Rhinolophus ferrumequinum: one gene and its partners. The protein of the gene in region 4 interacts with the protein of the main gene of each other region in a pairwise test. Links are inferred from orthologs where the notes say so. Each region holds a gene or a part of one and is shown on either strand. Other genes may lie near its edges.

Evidence for each region. The genes of interacting proteins can lie anywhere in the genome.
Region 1: the proteins of GLRX3 (region 4) and CA9 interact in binary tests that used the Homo sapiens proteins (3 or more experiments, as listed by UniProt). The two-hybrid records come from large-scale screens. The link is inferred for Rhinolophus ferrumequinum from reciprocal best matches to the Homo sapiens genes GLRX3 and CA9.
Region 2: the proteins of GLRX3 (region 4) and MAPKBP1 interact in binary tests that used the Homo sapiens proteins (3 or more experiments, as listed by UniProt). The two-hybrid records come from large-scale screens. The link is inferred for Rhinolophus ferrumequinum from reciprocal best matches to the Homo sapiens genes GLRX3 and MAPKBP1.
Region 3: the proteins of GLRX3 (region 4) and MAP3K3 interact in a two-hybrid assay, tested with the Homo sapiens proteins (2 studies listed by BioGRID and IntAct). The link is inferred for Rhinolophus ferrumequinum from reciprocal best matches to the Homo sapiens genes GLRX3 and MAP3K3.

What each region holds. Positions count from the first base shown.
Region 1 is NC_046295.1:51,859,845-51,867,593, reverse strand, and holds the start of CA9 (carbonic anhydrase 9), read right to left. Parts: upstream 3,359-7,749; 5' UTR 3,342-3,358; coding exon 2,927-3,341; intron 2,100-2,926; coding exon 2,070-2,099; intron 1,799-2,069; coding exon 1,628-1,798; intron 1,478-1,627; coding exon 1,335-1,477; intron 1,226-1,334; coding exon 1,133-1,225; intron 74-1,132; coding exon 7-73; intron 1-6. UniProt on the Homo sapiens protein: Catalyzes the interconversion between carbon dioxide and water and the dissociated ions of carbonic acid (i.e. bicarbonate and hydrogen ions).
Region 2 is NC_046289.1:63,620,061-63,627,635, forward strand, and holds the start of MAPKBP1 (mitogen-activated protein kinase-binding protein 1), read right to left. Parts: upstream 3,359-7,575; 5' UTR 3,234-3,358; intron 2,692-3,233; 5' UTR 2,603-2,691; coding exon 2,489-2,602; intron 1-2,488. UniProt on the Homo sapiens protein: Negative regulator of NOD2 function. It down-regulates NOD2-induced processes such as activation of NF-kappa-B signaling, IL8 secretion and antibacterial response. Involved in JNK signaling pathway.
Region 3 is NC_046304.1:42,259,837-42,267,859, reverse strand, and holds the start of MAP3K3 (mitogen-activated protein kinase kinase kinase 3), read right to left. Parts: upstream 3,359-8,023; 5' UTR 3,018-3,358; coding exon 3,014-3,017; intron 1-3,013. UniProt on the Homo sapiens protein: Component of a protein kinase signal transduction cascade. Mediates activation of the NF-kappa-B, AP1 and DDIT3 transcriptional regulators.
Region 4 is NC_046299.1:2,007,135-2,015,034, forward strand, and holds the start of GLRX3 (glutaredoxin-3), read right to left. Parts: upstream 3,279-7,900; 5' UTR 3,217-3,278; coding exon 3,128-3,216; intron 1-3,127. UniProt on the Homo sapiens protein: Together with BOLA2, acts as a cytosolic iron-sulfur (Fe-S) cluster assembly factor that facilitates [2Fe-2S] cluster insertion into a subset of cytosolic proteins.

The DNA.
Region 1 (7,749 bases), on a different chromosome or scaffold from region 4:
CCATACCTTCCACAGCGATCTCTTCCAAATGCGACAGCAACTGCTCATAGGCGCTGTTTTCTTCTGGACCTTCCTAGGAGACGATAATGCAAGACAGGTATACATGTATCTAGGGCCATGGCTGGAGACCTGAAGGTGAGGTGGGGTTCCCACAGCCCTTCCTCATTCCTTAGCTCTGAGCATGCTGGGAACACACAAAATCTTATGTATTATTACTCAAAGTCGACTTACTCTTACTGTGCAAACTAACCTAAGAAGCTTGGTGGGCTAGTTTTCAGTGGCAGATTGGAGGAGGAGGAGGAAGGTGGACACTTTACTAGGGTACAAGGCCCTCCTGACCTGGGCCCTACTCACTCAATGCTATCTTTACACTTCACATACACTCCGTGCTTTACCCCCGAAAACTGTAATAACCTTTGTATTCGTGTTACCTCTGCATTCACCTTAATAATTCATATGTTGATTTTTGGAGCAAGAATATGTGATTTCCAAGGCACTTCTCTGAACTTTGTGTTCTAAGGCTAGTAGTATTAAGGAGTAAGGGCAAGAGTGAAGGTAGCAGGTGTCTCACCATCCCTCCATTTTACTGGCCTCCTCTAATCACTGTGTTTGTAGCCTTGATCATTACAGGTCCAAAGAGGTCACTAGATGTTTCTCTAGACTTTCTTGCATTTCACAAAGGGGAAATTGTGGGTTATAGGAGCAGCAGAGAAATTACTCTTCCTGATGTCCATTTTATTGCATCTGCCGTTCCCTGAATGAGCCATATTCTTTGAGTCTTTGCACATACCATTTGCTCCGCACAGAATATCCCCTTTTATTTCCCATTAGTGAAAGCTTTAAGTTTCACTTCCTCTGAGAAGCCTTCCATGACCACCTCTTTTACTCTGTGTCATTTGTATGTGTCTACCCTGTCAGCTTCCCTCACTGGCTGTGGACTCCTTAGAGACAAGGACCCACGGTTTCTGAATCCTTTTTGTAATCCAGCGGCTGTTGAATGAATAAACTAACGAGAGAATGAGGATGATAGCCAGGTGCCTGGGTGAGTGCTGGGATGGGGCCTCTGAGGGCAAGATATACTGAGCCCAGACGCACGGGGAAGCAGGGAGTGGAGGGCTGTCGAGGCTGGTACCTGCAGAAAGGCAGCCAACACGGCCAGGCCCCCTGGGCGCCCCAAGGCGTCGTCAACTTTGGCAAATGCAGTACTAAGGTGAACCACGTGGATCTGGAGAGGACAGGCAGGTAGGCGTGGGCAAGATCCCCTGCCCGCGCCCCATTTCTGGGGATCTTGCCCACGATTCATTTCGTCCCTCCGCCGACAACTGAGCGCTCACCTCGGCAGGGTAATGTTGGCCACCAACCGTGTGCTCCGAGCCCGGGCGACCAGCAGCCCCCCAGTGCAAATGCAACTGCAGCGCCCGGTACTCCCGCCCAGGACCCAGGGCCATCTCCATTCCCGGAGGCAGAGTCAGCTGCACTGCGTGGGGAGCGCAGGTGAATCAGACGCTGCCCCGCCCCTGAGAGCCAGCCTAACCTCCAAGCACCGCCCAGGCCGTCCCTCTTCCCTAGGCCCTGTCCCATTCCCAGATAGCCTCCGCCCCTCCCTGAGGTTCCGGGACTGCCTCACCCGTGTGGCCGTTGTTGCGCAGGTGCAGTTTGGGGCGTGACGGGAGCTCAAAGCCAAAGAGTTGCAGGGGTCGCAGGGCGGGGAAGAATACGGTGTGCTCTGGGCGGATATCTACCGGGGACTGGAAGCGGCCAGCGCAGGCTGGGGACATCTGGGGCCAGGGTGGGCCTCCTGTGGTGGAAGAGTATGGACAGGAAGTTTGGTGATAAGATCAGGAACTTTGAGGGACGAGCGGTAGAAAAAGTGTGGGGTGGAGTCAGAAGACATTGGAGCGGGAAGTAGAAATCAGGGATGTGGACAGAGACAGGTAGCGGGCGTTTTGGGGGCCTGGCAGATGTGGATGCAGTGGGTGGGACGCCCAGGACCTGAGTTCAGGGATGGTTGTGGGGCAGGTCAGAGCTGGGTGTCCAAAATAGGTCTGTGCAGGTGGTGGGTGTCTCACCTCCATAGCGCCAATGACTGTGGTCACCCCCTGCATAAAAGAGAAGGATAAGGAGGCTGATTTTTGAGCCCAGCCCCTCGCTGGGGCCAGATCCATGTGGGCCCCCCTCACTAACAGCGCTGCGCAAACGCAGGTGCCTTACAGGGAGGGGCACAGCAGGTAATAAATGCCTAAAGTGGGCCATGTGTAAAGCACAATAGAGTGCAGCCAAATTTGACACCACAGCATGGTGAGCCACACAAAGATCCTACTGGCCCTGCAGATACCAGTTGCAACCACTGTCTTAGTAAAGTGGGTGGGGGTCTCAGTCTCAAAGCCCAAATCAGTAGACCATCCTTTCTCCCCCACTCATCCCTCTTCCCTTTCTGGCCTCCAACTCTTTTCCCAAAGTTCGTAGCTTGGGAGTCATGATACCGGGTCCCCCTACCTGCTGTTTCCTTCTTCCTGTGCCTCAGTTTCCTCACCTGTGTACTGAAGATGAGGTCATCTCTACAAGCCCTTCCGGCTCTTCCTCTGGTACCCCCATCTTTTCTCTTGTCTCATACTCTTCTCTCTGTGTTTTCTCTTTCCACATTCCTCATGTCTATCTCCTCTCCAACCTTCTCCTTTCTTCTTTCCCATCTCTTCCTACTCACTTCTCTCCATCTGTGTCCCATTTTTCTCTCCCCATCTGTCCCCCTTCTAGCTCTGAAAGAGGTGAAGGATCTAGTGGCATGGGAGCCCCTGGGGTTGGGAAAGGCTACTGTCAGAGTACAGGCTCCTCTACTTCCCTGAATAATCCTTGCCTGGGATGGGGTTTAATGAGGAGAGGCACAAACCTCCTGGAGCCTAGATTTTGAGGGCTGATGATGACTTACCTTTGTTGTTCCTGTGATTATTCTGGGGGACTTCAGTGTCCCTGGGAGTCTCAACAGTAGGTAGATCCTCTAATTTCAGAGAGTCGTCTTCTGCTGATTCTGTCTTCATTCCAGGTGGGTCCTCCTCTCCAGGTGGATCCTCTTCACTGGACAGGTCCTCCTTGCCCAGTGGATCATCTTCCCCAGACAAATCTCCTCCCATGGAGGGAGTCCTCTGCATCCTGGGTAGACTCTGGGGTTGGGTAGGTACCAGGAGCAGCAGTAACAGCAGCAGTTGCACAGTAGGTCCCGAGGCAGGGGTTGGGATCAACAGAGGGAGCCAGGGACTGGGGCACAGGAGAGCCATGTGGCTGACTGTAGGATGTCCCGGGTCGGTGTGTACAGGCTGTACAGTGTGTACGGGCTGTACGTGCATTGGAAACAGGAGCTGGGTGGGGGAGGAACAAGCCTGGAGGGGAGCAGCCTGACTCAGAGTGCCCTTTTCTAGAAATGAAGCCAAAGTTCCTCAGGTCTTTCTGGCGCTGTGCCCCCTCCTTGATACCAAAGGCTAGATTGGGGGTGGAGTGAATGCAGGTATGTGTGCAGGCACAAGGTTATTGGGGTCATGGGCTCAGCTTGGAACCCAAGGCACCACATGGCAGCACAGGCTTTCCCTGGCACCACCCGGTTGCCTGCCAGCCAGCCTGAGCTAACCCTGGCCTGCTTCCCAGCCCCAGGCAGGGACAGAAAAAGACAGGGAGCTGGGGCCCCCACATCCTCTGGCTGAGAGGGGAGTAGCACATGTGTATTCCCTGCCCAGCTAGGAAGCAGGTAAAGGGGTAGGGCAAGCTGCTACAGAAGCCTGTGGGTGAGGGGGTGGATGAATGGGTAGTAGGAGGTGAATTTGAGTATGAATGGAAAACAGTATATGTATGAGAAGGATTCTGATGGGTTTAAACTACATTTATTTTTCATCATATTAAACCTCTGCTCAAAAACCTTCATTGGCTTCCCATTGCCTACCAAAGAATCTTCCATGTGCCTATCTTCTCCTGCTAGCTGACTTCTATGCCCCTTCAAAATCTTACCCAAGAGAACTTTCCATCTTATTTCTTACTGCTCTTCATACTAAGGCCAGATTAAACTATTCATTTTCCCCCCCAAACCTTTGACCACCTTTGTCATCTAGTTCTTGCTCCCAGGAATGCCAATCACCCTTATAGTCAACAAATATTTATTTAGCATTTACTATATGTCAGGCACTGGGCTAAAAGTGCAGGAATGAATGACAGCCCTTGTCCTGAGGAGCTCACTGTTTAGGGAGTGAGGGCAAACACTATCATAAGATTTAGCAGCAAGAGATGAATTCTGCCTCAGAAGGTAATACAGAAGTAAGCAAATTTGCTCAGGGTTGTGAAGAAGCAGCAGTTTAATTGGTAAAAACAATGGAAAGAATGGTATTCTGGGCAAAGGGGAGGCATCAAATATTTTGAACAGGAGAATGACAGAATCCAATTCTCATATTAGGACTGGGAGGTGGAGGGCTGTGTATAGAGCATGGATTGTAGGGGGAGAGTGGGTGAAAGGAGACGAAGAGTATGAGGACCCCAAGAATGGGCTTGGGGTTCCCACTCTCTGCCTGTTCATTTAACAAACATTTATTGAGCCTCCTCCAATCCTCCAGGTTCTGTTCTAGGCTCTAGGGGGATGCAGCACTGGACTGGAGAACAGCCTCCACTGTTCTGTAACTCACATTCTAAGAAGGTCCCTATGGCTTCAACAAACCAGCAAAGAGAGTAAGGCCATCTCAGGAGGTTCATACCTGGAACTGATGTTCAGTAGGTACACACCTGTATGGTTATATAGATTAATTAAATATATTGAAATATTTCTAATTTTGTTGGTAACTAGCCCCTTCCTCCAGGGTGCTTCTGGGACCTCTCCTGACAGCCTCATGATCTCTTATCTAAAGAGATAATGGCCGGCACAGGAGGGATCCCAAGACCCACCCAGATGCCTCAACCAGCTTCCACTCTGATAGTGCACCCACTACCATGTTAGTTTTACTAAAATATATATATATTTATATAGTTTTACTATCTCCCCTATCTAAAACCCTTCTATTACTCAAGACTTCCAGGAAGTCTTTCTTGACTAATTGCACCACCGGAAGAGATTTCTGGTGCCTCAGCCACCACAGTGCTTTTGCTGCCCTTGTTAATAACTTTGTCCACCATCTAATTCATATTAGGATGATTTATGACATTTTATCTGCTCTAATAGCTTTGAGTTCCATAAGGGCAGAGTTCAATATTTTGATTGATTGAGTCACTCTTTTATTCAACAACCATTATTGAGTATTTTCTCTGCAGATCACCTTGCCTGGGTTTGAGAAAAACCAAATTGATTAAGATGACGACCCTGCCCCCAGGGAGCTCACTGTCAATGACCAGTGTGTGTGTCAAACCACAACTGTTGCAGGAACATGACATCATGTTTGTATGGCATCCCAAATTATCTGCCTCGTCAGAGTGACTGCCATACTGTACACCAAAACTCGTATGGCTGAACAACAGCTGTCTCCAAGCAGTCACTTTACGAGGTAATTAGCCTACAGTCTAAGGTGCCATTTCTGGAGCCAAATTAAGAGCCGTTCATGCATGGCAATCTGATGCAGTGTGTACTCTGGATGGTCAGCTCATTGTCTTGGGCAGCTGTGTGGTCAGCACCCTGGCTGGACCCTGACACATGAAAGGTCCATAGTAATATCTAAATTGGATGGACCTGGACAAGATGGAATGTGGTAACTTCTAGTTGAGGTGGAAGACTTCATGGGGAGCGCAGGGGACAGAAGCACCATAGTAACTGGAGTCTGTATGTCAGGACATCTTTTTCCAACACCAGTCCCAGCTTTATTTCATTTCCCTCTTTCCAAATGTTCTGACTGTTTCTTTTTCCCTAGTAGGTCTCTGTCAGGACCCCTTTGTACACATCTCTACGGCACTCTGTATGTCCACACATCTCCCCGCCCTCTCTGATGCTTCTCTCAGTATGTCAGAGTCCAGATCTCTGTCTAGGTACAGATCTCTCTTTGTTACAGCTTTCTAATTTTCCAAATGCTGTTCTGTATGGTGCTCTTGAGCTCTCTGTCTCTGTGTGTGACTATATCTCTGGTCTGGGTGGGGAATATGGACTCTGACCCTGCATCACACCTTTGCAGCTGGGAGTCTGCCAAACCCCCAAACAGGTTTGAGCTCCCAGAGTCTTTCTTGTTCCCTGAGCTTCTGGGACAGGGTGTACTCAGAAGTGACTGACTTGGGCACCCTCCCCACCTGGTACACAGTCTTAAGGTCAAGTGTTTGGTCATTAGTGTCTGTTTTTATCCCAGGGTTGCAGGGCAGAAAGAACAAAACAAAACAAAACCTCTACTCCCCAGCCATGGATTGGAAGCAAAGACAGAGCAAAGCCCTTCTGGGGCCTTGAGGCTGACCTGTAGTTCTGGCCCACCTCACCATCTGTATTAGTTTCCTAGGACTACTGTGACAAGTTACCACAAATTGGGTGGCTTAGAACAACAGATTTTTTTCTCTCACAGTTCTGGAGGCTACAAATCTGAAATCAGGGGTTGGCAGGGCCCTACTTCTTTGGAAGCTTCTAGGGTTTCTTCTACTGTGTTTCCCCGAAAATAAGACCTAGCCGGACCATCAGCTCTAAGCATCCTTTGGAGCAAAAATTAACATAAGACCCGGTTTTATTATACTATAAGACTCGGTCTTATATTATGTAATATAAGACCGAGTCTTATGTTAATTTTTGCTCCAAAAGATGCATTAGAACTGATGGTCCGGCTAGGTCTTATTTTTGGGGAAACAGGGTAGCTTCTTGTGGCTCCAGGCATTCCTTGGCTTGTGGCTGCATCACTCCAATCTCTGCCTCCAACTTCACATGGCCTTCTCCTGTCATCCCTGTCTCTCCACTGGGTGTCTCCTTTAGGAATAGTCGTCATTGGATTTAGGGCCCAGAATGATTTCTTCTCAAGATCTTTAGCTTAATTACATCTGCAAAGACCCTTTATCCAAATAAGTTCACATTTACTGGTTCTAGAGGTTAGGATATGGACATATGTGTACGGGGACCACCATTTAGCCCACTACGCCATCAGCCATTTAGAACTGAAGTGGATGCACAGGATGGGAAGAAATGGGTTTGTGTTGGCAACTCTCCTGCCTTCTGCCCATATCCCTCTTTATACTCTTTGTAGGCAGTTTCATCCACTCTCATGGCTTCTATAAGTTGATGATGTAAGAGACTGTTAGCATGTAAGAGACTGTTAGCATGAGAACTGCTATCTTCAGGTCAGGGTTAACAGCCCCTAGCCTGAAACAACATAATTATAAAATTCCAGGATGTGGGCAGTTGCAGCATGGCGACTAGAAGTCCTGTAGCTTATCTTATACTCCTGGTCTCCTTGTCCTGCAGTAAATCTTATACTCTTTGAAGCTATGCAAGTCCTGTAGCTTATCTTATAGTCCTGGTCTCCTTGTCCTGTAGTAAATCTTATACTCTTTGAAACTATGTAAGTCCTGTAAGTTTATCTTGTACTCTCAGAAGCTATGGAAGGCCTTGAAAATGCTATATAACCCCTTGGCTTTAAGTGTTTGGGGTCCTTGTTAAAAACCCGCTGCGTCGGGCAGAGACGGGGACCCCAGCCGGCTGGTAATAAACCTCGCTGTGCGACTTGCATTATTGTGCGGGTTCTCTGTCTGTCTGAGGGGGACAATTCCGGATCTTAACATTTGGGGGCTCGTCCGGGATGCCCCCCCTCAGGGGAACAGACAACTCCC
Region 2 (7,575 bases), on a different chromosome or scaffold from region 4:
ACCTTACGAAATAACGATATACATAAAAAAACAATTAAGAGATTGGTTCCAAGGTAGTGGGGCTGGTCAGAGAAGGCCCCGTGGCTCCAATAAATATAGAGTTGGATCTAAAAATAAGTGGAGAATTTGGTAAAAAGGCTACTTTAGACAGAAGGAACAGTATGATTCAAAGCAGCAGGCCATCTGAGGTTAAGAGCTGCATAAAAGCCCTCTGTCACTTCTTCTTTGCCCCTCCTGCCCCCCCAAAAGGCATAGATCTTTTGGCCTTAAAATTTTATTTCAGAGTTAGTTGTCCATGAATCACAAGCTCTCTGACAGTTACCACGATTACCTACAGCCACCACATATTAGAGCAGCTGACAAAGCCTTATACACCAAGTCCTATGTGGGTTACCGTAAGGCAGGCTTTTAGAATCATCTTAGGTAGAGAGTCTTCAGGAAGGAGTGTGGAAAAGCAGGAATCTGTAGGGTCCTAGGCACACAAAGACAGCTACTACTTTTGGGTGCTAAAGATATGCACCAGTACTCTTGCTCTGTCAAACTATTCAAGGGTCATTCAACTTTAGCTAAGTATTTCCTTCATTCACAGCTCTGGGACACACAAAGCCATTTAAAGAATCTGAAGCACTGAATTCCTATTTGAAACACGGTTGTTTAATGGTGATGCCTGGGATGCCTTTTTTCACTGTTTTCCTGGAGAGCTTCCTCTCTTGTCCTCTTGCCTCAGGACTCACAGTTCAAGCATCCCTTCCTCCGTGCAGTCTTTCCTAATTCCCTAAAGCTGATTTGGGTTCCCTCCCCTGTGCTGCCTTTAACACCTTTTGCATACTTCTAGGACAGCACTTACCACATCATGTAATTATTTGTCTACAAGCTTGACCAGCCACAAGCTCCTTGATGGCAAAGATAGTTTTATTCATCCCTGACTCCACACATAATAGGCACACAATAAACATTTGTTGAATGAATTAATGATGAATGACATGGGAAATTTTAAAGAATGGTGGCCATACCTTCTGAATCCCAGACCAAAATTACATTAAGGATTAGCACTGAAGACTAAACTCCCATCATACATTTATACTACCTATACTATTCTGGGTCGGAAAAAGAAGCCATAGCTATGAGAAGATTGCTCTAATACGTAGTGATAGCCATTGCCACGTCACCAGTCAAGGATACCAGTGCTTGCCGTACTAAGAATGACCCAACACGACAAATGAGTGAACAGAGTCAAACCTAAGAACATTTCTGAGTTTCAGGCTCATTCTTTTGCCTCTGAAGAATACGAGCAATGATTAATTAATAGGAGTCCTTGGAAAAGTCACTATGTCCACTGCCACGGATCCTCGTGGCTGATTTCGATTTAATATGCCCTCTGATGAAACATACAGGAAAGTTGTTCACCTTATGACCAAATCCAAGTAAAGTTCTGCTAAGGGACAGGCATCTGAATTAAGTCCTTCCAGAACCCGGCCATGTTGTACATTAGCATCTGAGTCATTCCTTATTGGCTTAACTCATCTCTGAAGAGATACAGGCAAGGCAATCAAATGCTGCTGTCTCAAATGCCTCTCCCTACAGCAATCCTGTACCACGCAAGGCTACTGTGCTTTCTGGCTGCTAATAACGCACAAAAGTCTAACGTGATCCTGTGGAAAACAAAGACCTAGATTCCCTCAGGGATTAAATAAATTTAGTCTACTTTTGTATTCCCAAAGATGCTGGGCGAAACAAAGTTGAAGAAAACAAAGTTGAAGAAACCAACACCCAGACAGCTTGAGGGGATGGAATGGGATTTGGCCTCCGAGGAACTTCTGCAACTTGGTGTGATGTGACTCTTAGCACATAGAGAATGAGATACGCAACGTTCAGGGCAAACCCGGAAAACTGTTTTGAGGCAAGTATTTAGCTCCTTGCATGTTATCATTCCTACGAAGCCAAGAAGCTCCAGTTAAATTAATTTACGTCTCTTGAAGAGACAAATAAATTTGTTTGACCCTAGGCAAGAGCATTTGCCAAGCCAATTTCTCAGACTAAGTGTTTGAGTGTATTTCTTTCTGCTACTACTGTCTTACATAACCTCGCTGTGACACTAACACTTGCAGCTACATTAGTCACAGCTTAGTCCTTCACAAAACATGTGGTCCCATTACCCTCTTCCAGGAAGGGAAACTGAGTCATAGCATATTGACTAGCTTCCCCAAACACAGACTTAGCTTGTCATGAGGCCACAATTGAATCCAGGTTGCCTTTCTCCTGTTCCTCTTTTCATGAATAAATCTTAGCATGTCCACCCCTGCTGCTCTTTTTCATTCAACCTAAAAGGACATCATTGCTTTCTCGAGAGGCAGAGATAGGCACACTTGATCCTTTGGAGCCAACAGGAGCCTCTAGAACTCCTCTTTCCCAAGAAAGAGGAAGAAGAGGAACATGGAGCAGAGGAAGGGAGGATTGGAAAGAAGTGGCTCCCCATACCAGGACTCACCTTGGAGCTGAGGTCCTCTCGGCGATTTCCTGCCTTACTCCTGCGTAATTTGATGGATGGGGATCGCAGCAGGTTCTTGATGCGGCTGGTAATGGTTGACCCTTCCACAGCCATGACAGTACCTGGCCCAATCTTGGGACTTGTCTCAACAGCAGCACTGCCTTTCCACGCCAAAGGGTCTTCCAGTATGCCCTCTCACTGACCTGAGATGGATGGTAGAGGCCACCTTACTTTCTGCCTAGCAGTGTCTGCAGCTCTTATCTCTAGGTATTGCCCTTTCCCCTCTCCTCGTCCCCACCTTCAAGCCCTGTGCGGTTCCTTTCAACGTTTGAAGGACAGACCCGTGAAAAGGGGGGTAAAAACTCTGAGCTGCAAAGAAATGACAGGCCCATGCCGGCCAGAGGCGTTTAAACTGGAGGGATGGATGGGATCTAGTAGGGCTAATGGCTGGTCTGGTCACCGTTAATTTCAAAGTGCTCCCATGGCAACTGCAATGTCCAAGGAAGGAGGCCACCGACGAGTCCCTCCGGGGGCCTGGGCACCTGCGCTGGAGGCCGCGAGGACACTCGGCGTGACGGGGCTCGCTGTGGCCCCGCAACCCGCTCTGCCTCGGGAGCCTCCCTCCCCCACCCACGACCCTCTGGAGCTCCCTGTCGGCCCCCCACAGGGGCCCTGCACCTTTCTTTTTCACCTCCCTCAGAAGCCCCTGCTACTCGCCAGCGCCCCCGTTCGGACCCAGCCTCACCAGCCCCGGGGCCCGAGGGCCGAGCCGCTCACAGCGCCCTCAGGCATCGCGCTCGGCGATTTCAGCTCCACAGTCGCAGCAGCAACAGCAGCAGCAGCAGCTATGGTGGCACCAGCGGCTCAAAACGCGAACTACCGCCTGGGCCAAGTTACGGGCTGGGTAGGCGGGGCCGAGGCGAGGAGGGCGTTCCCAGAGTGGACGAATAACGTCTGTGGGGGCGGAGCCAATGAAGCGCCTAGGAAGCTGAGGACCTGGGACTCGAAAACCACGGATTCCTCACAACGTAGTCGCGGGTATCGCTCTTAAAGGAAGATCTACAGAACATGGCTTCAGAATTGAAAGAACCAAGCCTTTTATGGTATTATGAGACCTGGCCCCCCAGAGTACTGCATTCCCCGGGGCCCCAAGGATAGTACCACGCCCCCAGGGTGCCACAGTTGGCATTTGATAGGCCCGAGGGACCAGAGCTGAAACTAACTCCTAGCTCAGAATTACAAGATTGAGACACAGCCATAAGTCTCTGCTCCCATCGACCCCAAGTGCTGGGACTTAAAGCGGTTAGAATAGTTGTTCGGCAGCGCGTTAACCTACGTATAAATGACTCTCTGGCGTAACTTTTTCGATTGCTAAGTGTTATTAACTGGGCAACCTGATTGGCCATGATGGAATGAAGGGGAGGGAGATGATTGCCTTGAATAGAGCTTTAGGCGTATCGGGGAGAGCAAAGACAAGTGAATGTGCCTACGGGACAATTTGTTTCCTGGTTTCTTTAGTCTCTTATGTCCCACCGCGCTCTCTCACCCAGTTAAACAGGACTTTGTTGCTCCAGATCTTTTCCTGTTCCTGTCAAAATTTACTCGTGAAACCTTTTCCCTAGTACTATTTTAGCGAGGTCACTGTCAAGCTTGCTGATACTAGATTTAGTGGTATAGTTTTTCTAGCTTACGGGGGTTGGGGGCGCGTTTACAGTATTATTTCACAGGTGTCACAGCCTAAGAATTTATTTTCTAAGCCTGATTTTCTGCCTCTTCGCTACTTCAAGAAATTACCTTATGAAAAGGTTAGCCTAAGCCAAAACACTGCGGCCCAGAGAAATAGTACAGCGATGTAACTGTCTCACCCTACCTAGATCCTTGGAACCCCTGGGGGATGTTAGCAAGAGGGAAGGACCCCTAAACCCATTGCTGTGCATGTCTTGTACAGCCAAGTGGCAAACAGCTTTGTGCTTGTGTGTATTGTACCGTGTTTCCCCGAAAATAAGACCTAGCCAGACGATCAGCTCTAGTACGTCTTTTGGAGCAAAAAATATAAGACTAGCAATAGCTATCAGTGGCATGAGGTATCCCCTTTCCTTCAACCATGCACTGCAGATGTAACGAAAAGTGGAATTTTCATATTTCCCAAATGTGGACGAAGGAGGCAAGAGCCATTAGGCACCACAGTATGATATAGGGGGTTGGCTCTTTCAACTTGCTAGTTTGTGATTTTTATCTCAATAGGGGTAGGAGCCAACATAACACTAATAAATGGTGCCACCTGGTGTCCTTACCCGTGTGCAGCATTCCCAGAAACTGCCATCTCCATCTTGGAGTTGTCCCTAATTCGCTCCAGATTGTTTGTGTCCACTAGTGGTTTTCTCACTCCTGGCCAGGTAAATGGGTTTACAAAGTGTCATTGGTCATTTCCTGTCCAGCACTATACTAGTTTGTCCCCTTAGAGAAAATGTTCCCCAAATTACTCTCATCTGAAGCTGAAGCTGCAAAGGCAAATTCAAGTTTCTGCTTTGTCTAAGATGATTTAGGTGAAGAGCAACTGAGAACAGTGTAATGAGATAAGAATTCTTAAGTCTGGATATTTCCAGTCTAGGGCTAAAACCACATTTATTTTTAATTCTTCACAACTGAGTCCAACCTTTATTGTCTAGGTATTAGGCAGCCTCTGAAGTGTCAGCATGGGAATAGGCTGTAGGCTGTTTCCAAGTTTCCCCAAGTTTCACGAATTAATTCCTCAAAAAACAAGTCCCAGGTCCAGTGTGAACAGAAGCCTCATTCCCTTTTCTACAAATTAAATACTTGCCATCCCACCCTCCAAAATGCAGGTGATCCTTGTATCAGTATTTCACCATCAATATGCTATTTCACTTTCTGTTCTGCTTGTATATTTCCTAAACATATATACATGGTTGTCACTCAAAAATACTAGATATCTAGGAAAAGAGGTATATATATACACTTGTCTGTTTTGCACTATGATCATTAGACCAGATTTGGAAATTCACCCTAGACTTAACATGCCAATATATGTGATTGTAAGATCCTGGAAAACTAACAAGCTAAACATGTTTGCTCATCAATTCAAATATTTATTGAGCACCTTTACATGCAAGGCACTGTAGGACAGCTGAGACCAATGCTTGCAGTTGGAAACAGGGTATCGCAAAACAATGCTTCCAAGACTGCTTTCCTATTTAACAAAGTGTCTTCTAACAGCAGAGTTTACAATAGAGAATTTAGTAAAGCTCAGATTTGTCTCAAAAGTCCCAGCTCGTCCGATTGTTTAGCTACCTCCCATTCCACACACACCTCCATCACTATTATTCAACACTTAGGCATCTGTAGAGAAGTTCAAATTTAATATAGTACAATCATACCTCAGTTCAAAAGTAGTACACATCAAATTATTTCCCTCTAAATTTCAAAAATGCAGATTGATCTTTCTTCTCCAAATGGCAGTGAGTCTGTTATATGCATTCCTTAGGTTTAATTTTCTCTGCATCCAGCCATTCATGTTCATGTAACATTTCATTAGAGATAATACATGAAGCATTGATGCCCTTACAAGCACTTTCTTCAAAATCAATTTTGTGCAAGAAATGTATTGATTCTTGGTTATCAATCATTCTCTATAAAAGTACCTGAAAATGTGCCTACTTTGTGCATTTCTTTTTTCTTTTTTTTAATCTTCTGGGAAGAACAAGGATTATCACCATTTTTTTAGACCTGTCTTCAAAGTGCATTTACCTCTCAATTCACCAGATCCCGTTCTATTTGAATATGTCAACCAGTATACTTAGGGGGGAAAAATATACTACTAAACCCTGCCCAAAATTATATATGAGTATGGATTCTCTGCTTTTCTTTTGTGTTCAAAACATTTTCAAACGTGTTACTGAAAGGCCTACCTTCACGTAGTTCATCCATAATTCTGGGGGGATACCTGCATTTATTATAAAATTACACAAAGTAATTTGTATGAAGTTTATGTAACTGGACTTGATCTGTGACCTTAGAGTAGTTCAATCTAAAGGACTCCTTTAATAAAATGTTTTTGTAAATTGTGATACTAGTTAACATATATTTGCTTTAAGAACATCTATTGTCCTTACCTGCTAAGACTGTTTATGTCTTGTTACTCAGGGTAACGGGTATATTACCTTGCACACATTGGTACTATGTGGCTAGCCTTTCTTCATTGTAGAACAATTTCTTGAGACATACTCTTGCCGTCAAGTTGTACAAAATTTTGAAGTCTCCACGTAAAACATGTTTCAAGGATTAGAACACCAAAAACCTTCCTCAAATGGCATATTGGCAACTGAAAACAGTAAGGAATTCCTATGATAAAACAACTTCAGTGGCACCTCTCTCTGATATCTCAGGGCATTATGATTCTCTACTCCAACTCAGCACAAACCTCCCAACACCAAGTTCTGCTTTAATTATTATAACAGATTTATTTATTTCAAGTTTATACATTCTGCCTTCCACTCGCCAAACTTCTTCTGTTCTTAGGTTTCTAAAAAAATAGTCATTTTTCAAAAGCAGAAAAGGAAAGATATATATTTAATATACAAAAGAAAAGGCTAAATCTGACATAATTATATTCTTAAAAACATTCCATTTATTTACAGATGTATAAAAAGGCGAATTATTGGTCTACTGAGATCATGCTTCTTACAGAGTTAGGGTGAGAGCTCACTATTCTCCCGATTCCTCAACTCCTCTCACTCAACGACATCTTTCATAATCACACATGTAATTTTCATAGATCAGTTTTTCCTGGGGTAAGGTTAAAGGTAGGAATTTTTGGAGATTTTAGATTTCTGTCCAACTGCATGATTGTTCTGAAGACTGAGCCCTCCTCAAAATAGCCCTGATAACTTCCTAGTTCTAAGAGGTCTTGAAAACACCATTATCTTGGGGGTTTGTAATGACATCTGCAGCCTTCCTTGAACACCGGGAATCATCTCTCATTTCCACCTTTGTACATCTCTCATAAACAGAGTCAAATATCTTCCCATAAAGAACTGATTATTACCTGTTTGTCTATAAAAAAGGGAAGA
Region 3 (8,023 bases), on a different chromosome or scaffold from region 4:
ATCAGAAATCTAGTTCTGACATCGCCATACTGATTCATTATAGTGTTATTCCAACTTCAATGAAAACAGTTACTAACTATTCAGGATCTACACAGGTGGTCAGATTCTAGCTAAACTGAATTGAGACTAACTGGGAACTCCCAACAACCTGGAAAGGTGTCTATAAATCACAATGTGACTTCAAACCAAGTTATCAAACCAGAACCACACCATCCTTAATCCTATACTCAGTTTACTATAGTTTCCTATAACATTTCCAAGTTGTTACATATTTTTCAATAATACTTCCCACTAAGTTTCATATTGCATTTATAAAAAGTCCAAATAAACACTAGTGAATTAATCTTAGACATTATTAACAGTATTTGCCACTATAATTGCTAAAACTAAGAGAGAATTCTAGCATAACCAAAAAAAAATGACCAATCCCATTTTTTTAAAATAACCACATAGTATCAAAGCCAAAAAAAAGAGAATATTTCCTATTATTTACAGGGTAAGTGTAGTTTCCACTAGAAATTTACTGGGGCTAACAGCCAATATAAAATCTGACATGTTTTTATTACCAACCCAAGTTGTCAAATAGGCTTGAGTTTGGGGCTTAGAACGGCTCAGGAAAATATGACTGTTAACCAAAGAACCTGCAGGGACTCAAATTAGTTTTAGTCTTTTCCTCACTGGACTGGAGTTTAACAAGTGGAATGAAAATATTAGTAAGTCTGTGTTTCTCTCTTATCAACCCCTTGAGTTTACTTAGAACTATAGCAACTAAAACAAACTAACCAGCCTGGGAATTTGAATTTTCATCATCAATATTACCAAAATGGAAACTATTATTTAAGAGAGACTGTGTGTGCGTGTGTGTGCGTGTGTGTGCGCGCGTGCACATATATCCTCACTGAGCCCTATACAAAGCATATTCAAGAGCCAGGTTCTGGGAGAATTTAGTATTCTGCATGTCAAGGTCATCTACCAAAAAGAGAGAGAATAGTATCCGGGGTGGGGGAAGTGCTGAAGAAAGCCAGGCAGTGGTTTTTAAACCAGATTGCCTAATATACTGCAGCCACCAGGCAAGTTAATTCCTCCATCAAGTGAAACTGACACTGGGACAAAAGAGAAGACACTGAGATCCTGGTCCTTTTTTCTCTGGGGCTCTGGACCCTACCTACACAGCTCCTTTTCTCCCCATCATTGTCCCTCCTTAGACTCACACACTTAAACTTTTTGAAAATGTCTTGAAATGTGAAAACAGGCTGACATCTATTTTCATGTTAGACAATGAAATGTAGCCAACACATCTGGGCACTCTTAACTGGTTTAGCAGTCCAGAAAGTGGGGAGTGGGAGCTCTGCACCTCCTCAAGTATTTCACACTCCCTTTTGGGACTTAAGACGAGCCCCACAGGACAAAAAGGAAAGACTTATTATTAGAAACACTATCATAAATATAGGTTAAATTAAAAGATTTAGTTCAATCATCAAATTCCAAAACACAAGATAAATGTTTGAAGCCTAAGAAGGATAAGAAGTATTACGTGCCCCATTTACAGTAAATGTTCAATAAGTATGTGTTGAATTATGTATTTAAATACCAGGCCTTACTGGATTCCTTTTCTGCTTACTGTCACAGGAGACTTTCCCTGGGAATGTAAGCATTTCTGAAGTAGAGCATGGGAAGGGAACAGTAAGTCCAACAAGTGAACAAACCCATCCCTTACCATATGAGGGGAAGCCTGGAATAGAACAAGGCAATTCATTCAAAGCCAGCATGTAAAGATAGGCGACAAAAGAGTATATGCTTAATGTGACACAGCATACACTTAACCTCCTACAAAAATGACTTGACCTTGCTATAGGGCAAAGCAAACATTAACGTTCCCTCTTTACATGGGGCACTTCACAGATTCAATGAATGGCTCTGCAAAGGATCCTTTCACTGAAGTTTACCCCTTGATTATTTAGGACATAATCAAGTATTTAGGACGAATACTTTGCAAGTCTTGAGATTGCGCACCACATTATCACAATAACTGACCCAACAAGAGATGCAAAGCACATCTAAAATTTTATTTGCTTCTTAATGCAGTCCAACAGTCATTTGCTAAGTTACCCAAAGGACATGAACTATAATTCAGTTCAAATGTTACGTGTGAAAGACATTAAAAGCTTTTCTTAGATTACGTCTTCACAACAGAAATTGCAAATATTGATAAAAAGGAAATGATTTCATAGACATTCTTTTGTGGAGCAAATGCTTCTCTCAAAAGTTACATAATTTCAGGGCTTCTGCAAGATAAAAATAATGGATGCAAAATACTGCAACCGGATTTCTCAAAAAGTAGGGATGTGAATTATAACTGGCAGTCCCCGACCAATTTCTAACCTCCAGCAATCTGCGTGCAGCTCGCATTTCTCAACCGCGCTGTTTATTACAGCGATAGCCGTTTTAATCACCTCCCAGACTATCTCCTCGCACGCCCTCCCCCCTGCGCTGGGGCGCGCACAAGGCTCGAGAGCAAGCCCCGGGAACTCACAGGCTGGCCTGTGTGAGCAAAGGGAAGGAAATGACACAGGCAGGAAAAAAAAGCAAATCAAGGAAAAGACACAACAGCAGCTGGGCCTGCACCAGCCTCCAGCCGGGGCCCCACACTGCGCTCTCGCTCCCCCGCCCTCGGGCTCGCGGTCCGGCTCGCTGCGGCCGGAGCGGGCTGACCCGCCGAGCACCGGCCCTCGATCCCGCCACCGCTTCCTCGGGATGCACCCGCTGCGCGGCCCGGAAGGAGGCTGCCGAGTGGGTTCCGCCTGCCGGGACCGCCCCAGCGGGCCGGGGAGCCAGAACCCCCGCCCGGACCGTGGAGCTACGAGCCGGGCGGGCGGGCTCCGGCGGTCCGCAACCCCGGCCCGGCGGGCTGTCCATGCCTGTCAGGCGGCGGCCCAGGGTCCTCCTCCCCTCAGCCCGGGGCGGGGCGACGCGAAGTAGCGCGGGCACAGGCCGGGGCGGTGGCGACACTCACCCATGGTGGCGATGGCGGCGGCGGCGGCTCGGGCCCGAGTGTCACCTCCGCAGCCCGGGCTGCATGCCGGGGGCCCGGGCGGCGGGGACGGCAGCGGGCCTGGCTCCGCGCGGGGGGCGCGGGCTGCCCTCGGGGCCCCCGCCGCCTCCCCAGGCTCCGGCTCCGGCTCCGCCCGCGGCCGGGCGCTGTGGCATGGGCAGGGTGGCCCGCTACATCCCCGGCGCTCCTCTGCTCGGCCCAGCCCGGCCTCGGCGGCGCCGCTCGGCCCGCCCGCCAGCCAGTCCCTCAGTCCCTCAGTCGTTCCGTCCGGCCACCGTTCTCCACCTCAAGAACGCTCCGAAAAACAAACCGCTGGTCGCGCAGCTCGCCCCCTTGCCTGTCACTCAACCCAGCGTTCGCCAATCCAAAGCATGTGCTGCACCATCGTACCACCCCCACTCACTTCACCAGCCAATAACAAGGAGGAAGTCGCTGCCCCCCCACCACCACCCCCTCCAACGCTCTCTTCCCAACACCCTCTCAGCCGCCAGCTAATCATCAGCACCACACGATGAACCAATCCCGCCTACTCTCGCAGGATGCCAATAGGCGAAGCCAAGGCAGTTTCCGAGAGCTATCTACCGACTGCCAATCATCGAAATAGCGCCCAGTTCTCTCCGCTGCTAGCCAATCACGTAGAGGAATCTGAGCACCCGCCTCTGAACATCCCTCACTGGCTCATCCTCTCTCTCCCCGGGAGGTGTTGGTTGTTCCAATCACAGCTCGCGCGTGAGGCTCCGCCTGCGCTCCCACCTCCTGTCAGTCACCCAAGGCTCCGCTGGTGCGCGGGCTGGCGCGGTTCCCTGCCGGCTACTTGGGGGCTGCAGTTAGGAATGGAAGCTGGAGGGGCACTTCGGCCTCCCGCCCTCCTGGGTCTCCGCGGTCCCGGCGGTCCCTGAGGCCAGCGTCCTGCCATATCCTGTGCCCACACAGGGTGTGTAATAAGCAGGGAGGGTTTTGGCTCTGTGCGCTTCCCGGCGTGTGGCCACTTCTGCCGCGGGATCCCTTGGCTTGTCCTGCGGTCCAGACGCTACGCTTGCCCGGAGGCAGGGGGAGCCTCACCGCTGGCCGCCTTTTCCTGGGTCTCATACCTCCAAGGCCACACCCTCCGAGGGGCTGGGATAGTGCTAGAATGTGGGTCCTCGGAAATCTGGGAGTTCGTTGCTGGCCAGGGCCAAACCAGTGCCAAGCCAGAAAGGTTCTTTCGGGGGAAAAAAATTTTTTTCTGGTTATAAAACCAATACAAGTTCTCTATATAAAAACTGAAAGAAAAAAAAAAATCCCACCTCAGAGGTAATTTTATCTCTTTCCTACCCAGATTCACAACGTTTGACAAAAATGGCTTCATATTGTTTTGTAGTATGCTTACATTTTATTAAGTGTTTTCCCGTGCCACTGAATATTGTTCCAAAACAATTGTACTGGCTGCATATTTCAAAATAGAGGGTGACCATAATTAATTTCCCTTTCAACATTTCGTACACCTCGATCTTCAGATTCCAAGTCCACCACAATTAATAAAAGCTCCCTTCCTCTGGTGTAATATAAATGAGATGCCAGAATAATCTTCCTCAGATGCATTTTTCAACTGTCAACTAAACTTTTAGTGGTGGCTTTGCCTTGGGTGTCAAATCTCTGAAGAATTGCCTTAGACTCCACTCTTTATTTACATTCCCACCCCAGTATTTATCAGGCCCCTCGTCCAGTTAGTTTATTTTTTTCCTTCAACAAGCTTTTAAGTCTGTCATTTTCCCTCTTGATTAGATCCCTACCCAGTTTATTGTAGTTCCTATAATAATCTTTTTTCTGAGAAAGTTTTCTCAACTGTTTTTTTTCCATTATCACCCCCCCAAAAAGGGAAAATTTCAAATTAATTAAATTTAAATTCTTCCTAATGAGAGAAATTAAATACTAAGGAATAAGATTTTTGTCAGGTGAGGTTGCGCTTTGAAGGCCACACACCATTGTTATTATCTACATTTTTTGACCCATTAACAATCACTTTTCACCCGTTTGGGGATAAAACCCTGTTGAGAATGAATATAATAGGCATATATGCTAGAGGTCATAATCTGCCAATCTGAAGCTAAAACCTGACCCTTAATTTTATTAACCTGAGATAAATATTTTAAAAAGACATACTTATGTCAGTAGAAATCTAGTACTCACTCATGGCCTGTATGTGAAGGTCTATTCAGCAGTTTCTCTTGGAATGTCTACGTAACACACATCTCCAATTTAACATGTTTTACACTGAACTCTTAATTATTTTCACCTCCCCCCAAAAAACCCTGCTCCTGTTTTCCCAGTTCTTAAAATACAAACCTAAGAATCTGCCTTGATTTTACTCTTTCCCTCACACCCCTATAGCCAATCATTCAGCAAATCTTTTCAGCTCTTGTTTCAGTATTTGAACCAAACCACTTCTCACTACTACCACCCTAGTCTAGTCCAAGCCACCATCCTCTGTTGGACGACTGCCCTAACCTCCTGACTGATCTCCCTTTTTCCTCTGTGGTCACCCAATAAATGATTCTTCACATAGCAGCCAATTACTGTAAAAAGTAATTCAGATCATGTCACTCCCCTGCTGTCAACCTTTCAATGGCTTCCCATTACATGTAGAATAAAATCCAAACTCTGTCATGGCCTTCCGGACCCAACAGGAGCTACCCCCGCCACCCTCTCCTACTTCATCTCTATCATTCTCCCTCAATCGCTGTCCTTCATCCAAACTGACCTTCTCACCATACTTTGAACCTACCAGGCTCGGGATCTTTCACCTCAGGTATTTGCCATTTGTTCTGCCTGGAATGCTCTTCCCCAGGATGTTACAATGACTAATTCCTGCATTTGATTCAGGTCTCTGCTCAAATGTCAACTCTTAAAAGAGTTCCTAAGCCTCCCATCCAAAATAGCCTCTCCCCCCTCCACAATCATTCTGTATCTCCATATTCTGCCTTATTTGTCTACATAGTGCCTGAATTTTATACACATACACACACTCTTGTCTTTCCTCCACCTACATAAACTGTGTAGGATCAGGGATTTTGTTCTGTTCACTGCCCTATCACCAGCACTTAGAATAGTACCTCGCACATGATAGAGAAATGCAGTACAACTACTTAAGTCTTTAGCTGAAAAGAGCCTTCTGATTTTCCACTTTTCTGGCAACTGCTTTCTTTGAGGGCTTCGTTTCCATTGGCTGTCCCTTAACCAGCCATCTCAATCATCCCACGCTGCAGTTACCACATGGACTTTCTTCTGAGCTATCCAGAGCCATCATCCCATTGAGTTTCCCATAGGCACCTCAAATTCTACAGTTCAAAACTGAATAAATTATTTTCCTCCTAGTTCTGTATTTCCTCTGCCCATCTTCAGTTCTCCAATTCGATACCTCTGAGTTGTCTAATTTTGAGAGCTCTTCCTCTCCATTCTCTTCCCCCAGTTAATCCTGACCATGTCCTCAATCTGTCTACTTCTCTCGAATCCCCAGCTTCATCACCCTAGTTCAAACCACTTAATCATTTACTTGGATTATTTAGTGTAATAGCCTCCCGATGTGTGCTCACATCACAGGGTGATTTTTTCTAGAACAGATACCTGATCCTGTCATCCTCTGCTTAAAAACTTTAGTTTCCCATCACCTTTAGGATAAGTCAAATATGTGAATCTAGCCAGAAAGGCCTTTCAGGACCCAAGCCATTCCTTCTTTAGCCACAAGTTTTTCCACTTCTCACCTCTACCAACCCCATCATTCAAATTCTATGTTCTGGCCACACGGAACCACTGGTAGGCAGTTCTTCAAATGACTCTCTCTTGCCTGTACACCTCTGAATATGCTATTTTCTGTTTCGAACAGTCTTCTCCTCCACTCTTGCCCCTACCCCCATTCTTTCAGTGAAGAGCTAAGCCTAAACATCACTCCCTCCAGGAAAACCTTCCAGATACCCTCAAATCTGGGTACCACACAGCACCTAGTACTTTCTTCATCAAAGCACTGTCCTACTCTATTGTAATTGCCTTTAAGTAAGCATAAAGACAGAAACTGGGGCCGGCCCGGTGGCTCAGGCAGTTGGAGCTCCATGCTCCTAACTCTGAAGGCTGCCGGTTCGATTCCCACATGGGCCAGTGGGCTCTCAACCACAAGGCTGCCGGTTCATCTCCTCCAGTCCCGCAAGGGATGGTGGAACTAAGATTGAACACGGCACCTTGAGCTGAGCTGCTGAGCTCCCAGATGGCTTAGTTGGTTGGGGCATGTCCTCTCAACCACAAGGTTGCCGGTTCGACTCCCACAGGGATGGGGGGCTGCGCCCCCTACAACTAGCAATGGCAACTGGACCTGGAGCTGAGCTGCACCCTCCACAACTAAGACTGAAAGGACAACTTGAAGCTGAATGGCACCCTCCACAACTAAGACTTGGAAAAAAGTCCTGGAAGTACACACTGTTCCCCAATAAAGTCCTGTTCCCCTTCCCCAATAAAATCTTAAAAATAAAAAAAAAGACAGAAGCTGTGCCATTCAAATTGGCATGTCTAGAATCTTCCATAGTACATTCAAAAAACAAATATTTGTTGAATGAATAAGTGAACCTCAAATGAGGATGTAGCAATTGAATGTAATTTCCACAAGTGTGCCCTTGTAGCTATATATTTTATTCTTTTTTCTATGCTGTTGCCCTCCTATCTTCATTTTCCCTGTGAAGCTTCCCAGTTGGGCCATACCTTCTCAAGTCCGTTCCCTTGGTTTCACACTGAGTAGATGCCCCTGGTGAAGCACCTGAGCCATATCTGATCCCAAGAATCACAACCTGCCCCTAGTGCGCAGGACCTCCCAAAGTGCTGGTCCCATTAAGCAGCCCAATCACACACTAGCTACACACTTTCCTTTTTTCTTTTCAAGAGCATAGAACTTCTTGGACACATGACAGGGAACAATAAATACAAATGAATGAATGATCTTAGGGGACA
Region 4 (7,900 bases):
CAGAAGTAATCTACCTGGCCCTTCAAAACCCTCCTGCGTGAGTCTCTGCCCACTCCAGTCTCATCACTCAGAGCCTCTGAGAGAATGAAGGGGCGCCCCAAAGCCTAAGGGATGGCGAAAAGGAAAACGGTCCCCAAAGGATCTGTGCAAGAATGTTCATAGCAGCTTCGGACACAATGGGCAAATCCTAGAGAAACTGTTGTATGTTCATACAGTGGAATAAAAAGAATCCAACTATGGCTACTTGCAACAACATGGATGAGTCTCGAAAATACACTGAGTAAAACGACAAAGAAGACCAGGAGCTGTGTGACTCCATTTACATTAAGTCCAAGAACAGGCAAACCGAGTTTACAGTGACAGAAAGCAGATCGGTGCTGGGGAGTCCTGGAAAGGGGCTAAAGAACTTTCTGGGGCTCTCTATCCTTGTTTTGAATGATGGTCATTTGTGTGCATACAATTGTCAAAATTCATCACATCTAACAATTAAGATCTGTACATTTTATTATAGTATGTAAGTTAATACCTCAATCTTTTAAAAGTTAGGATACCACTTTTTACTGGATCGAAAAAATATTTTTAAAATAATATTCAATGACAAGAAAGACAGAGTGAGACAAGCACTTTCATATCCTGCTGGTTAAAATTAAATTGGAACCTGTCAGAAACTTCCCACTTTCAAGTATCCAAAGAAAGTATTAGAGACAAAGGTTTATGTGACTGAATGCTTTCCTATTATTTTCCATAGCAAATAACTGCAAAAATGTATTGTTCAACAAGTTTTTTTAAGTCATATAAAATATTATAAAGCCATGAAAAAAATCGTATGTTGAAGATTTTTTTAATGACATGGGAAAATCCTCACAATATGATTACATGTATTTTAAAAATTAAAATAGATTACCAAACTTTTTAACAATATGAAATGACATGCAAAAAAGAAAATAAAAAAGCACACACATACAACTTAAATTTCATTACTACTAATGTGGCTTTTAATTCCACCTCTGTGAAACAGCAATAACCAAAATCCTGGGATGTTGGGAAGATCAAACAAAACTATAAAGCACTTTGAAAACACTGAAGAATGACATTAATGTTCACTGTTCTTGTAAATCATCTGCAATATTCTCATATCTAGATGTGTAGCTTCCACTTTCCAGTTCAGTACATGGTGCCTTATATCGTAAGGACATAAACCTGAAACAAACATAAGTGCTATTTATCATCCTCTCTCGGCTTACAGGGAACAGCACTGTCTCCATCTTCACGGATAGCCCAAAATGCAGGGTGCACTGTTTAAGGAAAACCTTTAGAGAAATCCTGATTGATGGGATTTTAGACAATGCAATGAACCTGGGTTCTTCATCAGTAAAATCATTAGTGCTCATTAATGGCTGTTTCTATTATTACAGGTGTTCTGCTCCTGCAGTTATTCATCTGCAGATAACACAAGCTACCACTTCTTAAACACTAGCACATGCTAGACTCTATTAAACATTTTACAAATAGGCAAAACCTTAATTACTCTGCAAATGGATATTAATATCCCCACTGTACAGACCACCTGAGGTTTCATTAACATGTAAAACATGTGATTGAGTTAAGCAAAGAAAAATTTTCAGTTCATATGAAATTTTAAAACTGAGAAGTGAAGATTTGGGAAGTAGACTTTAAATTATTACATTAACGAATGCTATTTAATAATTCTTAAATGCTTCGATTTTCACAAAAAGCTGCAGAGATTTGTTCCTTGCCCACATAGCAGGCGTCATTTCCCATGTGCCCAATGAAACTCTCACTATGGAAAAGGTGCACTGCTTTTGGAGTCACTTCAAGTACAGACCAGTGACAAGAATACACCCAAATGTACTTCCATTTAAACTTTTCCTGATAGTGATATCTTAAGGACCTTAATATTTCAAAAAATGAAATACACAAAAAGCAAAATGGTCTTCCAGATGGTAGCAAGTTCATTTACTGAGGGCAGGTCCACACAAGCCCTGCTCATTTTAGGAGGCCACCTCTGGTGACTTCATAATTGCGCTATTTTAAGATGTGTGGAGTGTTGGCTGAATCAGAACCCACTTTTCATCAATGAGTAAACGTCATCCCCTCTCCTTTTTAAACAAACAATTTTCCAGGTAACCCTGAAACGCCAAAAGAGCTGTTGTGGTTAACACTTTTAACTCCATCCCCTTCGTAAAGCATGAAAGGCCAAGGACCATGAAAGGCTACTCGCACCCTTCCCATTTTCCACGAAGGCAGTACGTCCCCCGTCTGACCTGCACACGCTACCTGAGCTACTCGCCCAGAGTAGCACCTGTCTCTAATTCACATTCCTCAGCAAAATTCTACCGCATTTAGGTCCGTAAGCATTTGCTGCGTGCCAGCTCCATGCCCTCCGCTCCATCCAGAAAATGCCGAGAGCTAAGGCTGACTGCTCGTGCACGCGAGGCGGTGCGGTGCGGTGCGGTACGCGCAGCATCCGACTCGGTGCTCCCAACCTTGGGGTGGGCGCTGTTCTGACCCATTTCACCGCTGCGGACACTGAGGCCCGGTTATGACACCTGCCCGGGGTTACACGGCCACCAAGAGGCTGAGCAGGGCACTGGCTCCCGGGCAGTGGGCGCGGGAGCTCCCACCGCACCACCAGGGACACGCTGAGAACAGGCGTCCCGGGAGGGAGGACCCGGCAGAGTGAGGTGCGGTGAGCACGACGGGGCCCGTTGGTCCCCAAAGGCGGACTGCGCACCCCTGCGCCGTCGTCGGGGCGTCTTCCCAGGGCTGGAGGACCCCAGCAGGCCAGCTCAGCAAACAGGAAATTCAGGCTGCGGCCGCCGGGAGGCTTTAAGTGTGAGCGCTGCCAGCGGCGCACACCGCGCTCCAGACGCCCCCTGCAGCCGGGCAGCCTCCCCGGCCCCGCCCGGCCTTCCTCTGCCGCTCGCCGCTCACACCGCGGGAAGGGGCCGCGCCGGGGGTGTGCGGCCGGACCCCGCTCCTCCGCCGCGGTGAGGAGCCAGGGCCCGGGAGCCGCGCCGGCCGCTCCGCCCAGGCCGGGCCGCGCCGTCCCGCGAGGCCGGCCTCCGCCGTGCCCCTCACCCCTGCCGCCCGCCGCCCCGCTCACCTGGCTTTGAGGCGCAGAAGCTCCTCAAACTGCTGGGCTGAGCCGACCTCCACGGCCACCGCCGCCGTCTCGGCCGCTCCCGCCGCCATGCTGCCGCCGCCAGACAAGAGCAATCGAGCGCCGGCGGCCCGGGGGGCGGGGCCTCTGACGCTGTGCGCGAAAGCCCCGCCCCCGGGTCCGCCCCGCCCCGGGCCTGCGCCTGCGCCTGCGCCTGCGCCAGCACCAGCCAAGACGAGGACACCTGGGGACATGCTTCCGGCCGCTTGAGCTTGCGCACTGCTCCTGAGCTTCCCGGCTCCCAACGGCCAGGAGTCTGCCTGCGGGTCTTTCTGCTCCGTACCTTCCCTGCATCTCCCACAGCAGCTGGGAGAAGGGTGTGCGTGTGATGTGAGTGTAAGAGAAGTCAGGTTTGCACTTAACAAAAATCGAACCTAAAATGAAATTACACCAAGGTGAGGATGGATGGGAGGTCAGGGAAAGAGAGGTTGCGCCATCTCGGAACCTCAACACTGACAAAGACCTTTGAATTCGGACCTGAAGGACCCGAACCCGAGCCACCGCGTGTCCCGCCACCTGTGCCCCCGCGATGCCCCCCACCTCGGAGCAGCATCGCCTGGCACCACGGCCCAGCTCCAGGACCCCTGCCCCTCCCTCACTCGGGCCTCCAGGTCCGCATACTCTCTAACCTCCAGCCCCTCCCTGGTTCCCTGTGGATCCCCCTAATGTTGACTCTCCAGGTGGTGTCCTCCCACACTTGTCATGCCCCGCACACACTCTCCGGCCTGAGTCACGTCCATGCCCTCCATCTCCACGGCAAGTCCCTCCGCCCCCAGAGCCCAGTCACCATCTGCTTTGGGGAGGGCTGTCTCCTCTTGGAGGACCCCACACCACACCTGGCCTTTTCTCCAAAGCGCCGCTCCTGTTGTAGCTCCCATGTCACTGAAAATTCGTGCTCCCACCCAGACAGGAGGGGCTCCTCCTGGACAGCCCTGGGGTTCTGGACAGGCTTTGAGGGCAGGCCCGATGGAGCCTTCCCTCGTGTTCAGGGCACCGTGCCGCTTCTCCCACGTGCACATCTCACTGGATTGGAACTGTGCTTGTCTCCTCCACCAGCTCAGTTATGGAGACAGGCAGGAATGTGCGTACCCCAGTGTCTGCATTGGAGCCGGGCAGAGTCGTGCTCAGTGCGCGCTCGCCACGCGCAGCTACTGGAAAAGTGGGCTCACGGAGTTTCAAAGATTTAGTAGTACCAAAAAAAGGTAATCTATCTCATTAGTAATTTTTAATTGATTGCATGTTGAAATGATAACATTTGGGATATATTGGGTTTTGTGAGATATGTTATTAAATTTAATTTACATCTTTTTATATTTTTAATGGGGTTGCTAGAAATTTAGTTATGTAGTGACTTTCATTTGCGGCTCACCCTAGGTTTTCCCTTGGCAGCGCTGTTCTGGTCATTGACAGTGACCGGTTAGGAGCCCATTACACGTGTGCCTCACCCTGAGAATAGGTGTTACTGACAATTGTAAATTACAGTGTTTGAAATGCAACAGGAGAGCAATGAGGAACTGTTTGTTCCTGACTGTGGTGGTAGATACTCAAACATGCGATAACATTGCATAGAACAAAATATATACAAACAAGTACAAGTGAAACTGGGAAATTGAAAAGAATGGGTTGGTTATATGGATACCAGTATCCTGGGTGTGGCACTACTACAGTTTTGCACGATGTTATCTTTTGAGAAAATGTACACAGGTCTCTTTGTATCATTTCTGATACCTGCATATGACTCCACATTATTTTAAAATAAAAAGGTTAGTTGCTCTTTTTTTTTTCTTTTTTTCTTTTTAGTAAAGGAAACCTAGAGATTACTATGGAGGAAAAATTCAATGGGGGGAAAACAGCATGTTGCAAAACAGGATTAGGCTCCAATAACCATCTTTAACAGAATTACATGTAAACAAATATATAACTATACACGGCTGAATGTAGCATAGGAAGAGACCTTCAGAAGGATGTCCCCAAAGTGGTAGGAGAGCTTGCCTGCAGAGAGTGAAAATAGGGGAGTTTTAAAGGGAGGACCTTCATGCTTTACATTATTATAGGCTTCTGAGTGTCATGGGCATTTTTTTCAAAGAGTGGAACTGGCCTTGTAATTTAAAAAATAATGAAATTGTAATGCACCAGGGAAATGTGGTATATGGATCTTTTTTAAAAAACAAAGCAAAACAGTAAGCAGCCTTCTAATGTGGCTGTTTTAAAAATCCTGATTTTTCCTTTAAATGGAATTTGCCGAAAGCAGCATACACCAGCTACAGAGCACACTCCCTACTTCAAAACAAAAGTTAGGAACATTCCCAGACATTCCCAGTCCTGCCCCCTGCCCTTTCTGCAGTTATCACTGTTGGTATCAACAGGCCTGACATCAGCAGATGACGCCTGAGCTTGAAAATGCTCTCACGTAGGCAACCAAGACTACTCCATTCGGCTTTGAGCCCACGCCGCATGTCGGGAGCTGTGGCTCCTGAGTTCCAAGTCCATAGGTGTATACACAGGTATGTGGTGGTTTTCAGCCTTCCAAAGCAGCTGCACACACGTGCCTGCATTTAGCATTCTGTGCTACCTTCAGCTGTAAACACCTCAGTGCCTACCCCCCTTTACAGCTAAGGAAACCGGCCAGGCCCACAGCCGGGAAGGGCCAGCGAGTGACTGTCAGGCCTCACCCCAGGGCCCTCCCGTTGGGCTTCAAGCTCTTCTCACTGCCACCGCCACCCTGTCCCACATGCGGCTCCAGTGTTGGAGGGCCCAGTCCTCTTTCTCTTGTTCAGGCCCAGAGGAGAAAACTTGTCATTGTCATATTAAATGGGGTTGGCCTGTTCCTTCTGTTACACTCTGGACTTGGCTTTTCCTGGTGCCCCTATTAGTGCTTGAAAGCTCAAAACCACTGGAATCCAAGATCCAGGGGCTGATTTGGGCCTGTGTCCCCAGTGTGGGTTCATCCCAGGCACCGACATTCTGCTGACTCCATATGTAAGCATCGTTTAGCCACATCTTATTTCCAATTTGGAGCAGTGAAGGAGGTGGGGAACCCCTTTGGAACCCAGTGACACTTCATCTTAAGTACCCTCTGGGCAGGGGCCTCTCCTGGGTCCCCAGGCCGCTCTTGGTCTGGCACCAGGAACAGTTTTCCTAGGACAGCAGCACAGCCCTGAGAAGGATAGGACAATTAGGTTTCCCCAGGGTGCTGTATGGCACTTCAGGGGCCGGGAGCATGGGGACCAGGAAACTGGGGCTCTAGGTCCTCGGGGCTGAAGCCTGGCCTGACAGAGCGAAACTGCAGACAAAGCTGCAGGTCGCAAAGGAATGCCAGCCTATGTCCAAACTGCCCCATTCTAAAGGAATGTGTGTGTGTGTGTGTGTGTGTTTTCCCCGGGTAATGACAGCTAACACTTACTGCTCCTGCAAAGGCAGGGAAATACTGCAGCCGTGCCCTTCTGATGACGCCTGGCTCATTCCTTTGCCCAGCCAGGTGGTGTCCTCCACGGCAGGCAGGGCACAGTGCTGAGTTCCAGGTGGGCACATATAACCCAGAGAGGAAAGGAGTGACAGCCAGTGGAGGAGCACTTGGAACTGAACCCCCAGCTGGCGGGGTCTTTGTAAACCCCACCCCAGGAGCTGAGACACACAGGGAAGGAGTGAGCCAGCTTTAATGGACGACGAAGCATTTGTACTGGAAAGTGTGTTACTCAGGTAAAGTGGCCAACGTTTCCTTTCTTTTAAGAGACTCTTAAATTCCAATCACTCTGCCCCCAAAGACCAGTTGAGGGTAACCCCAACCGGAGGGAACTAATTTCCTTAGGAATTTCACTGTTGCAGGATTAATGGGCCCCCTGCAGAGAAATAGTAAAACTGTAAGTACAGTAGATTGGCACCTGAAGGATACATATTTTCATTTCTGTTCTCAAGCTGCGATATCTTCTGGAGCTGCTATAAAAAGCATCAGTGAGCACCCGCACGTCTGCTGAGAACTTGCTAACAGCTCACCGGGTGGAGTCAGCACAGTGCCAGACTCCCGGGCTGTGTCCACACAGCTGGCCGGGGGCCCACGGTCATGTCCAGGGGTTCAGTGACTGCTGGGCGCCTGGGTGGGAAGGGCCCAGATGCCTTCCCCGGAGCCCTGACGGGAGGACCAAAGCCCAGAGCAGAATCCCTGGACTAGGTTCTCTTAAGCCTACTTGCACCCCCACGCCCAGCCCTGCCAAAAACCTTGGCACAGCATTCGCTGAGAGACCATCGACCTGGACGCAGAATGGGGGAACCGAGAGGTGGACAGTCTGCATCTTGCCCTCCAGAGCCCACCAGGGAATATCACCCCACTGTCCATTAGCTTTGGTGGCCCCAAGAATGGGCTTTGTGAAAGGTGCCTCACAAACCATGTGGATGGACATAAACCGGATTCTAGGTCCTACCAAGCCACTAGCCCTCCTTCTTAGTCCAAGGGCCAGCCTGACAGTTGGGATGCCCCAGCTGTCACCCTGATAGAGAGGAGGACACAGGCTAGGGAAATGGGAAGGCTGTGAGGGCTCCTCTGTCAGCTGTAGGAGCCGGAACTTGGGCCGGCACAAGTCAGCCAAGCTTCTGTGTTGTGTTCCTTACCAGGAAGTGCTTTTACTGGGAGAACTCTCCGTACATGCGGGCTGTAAAGGTGGTTTATACTGTCATAGCTAGATGTTTATGGGTTGTAGTTTTGCTATACTTGCTTGAAAA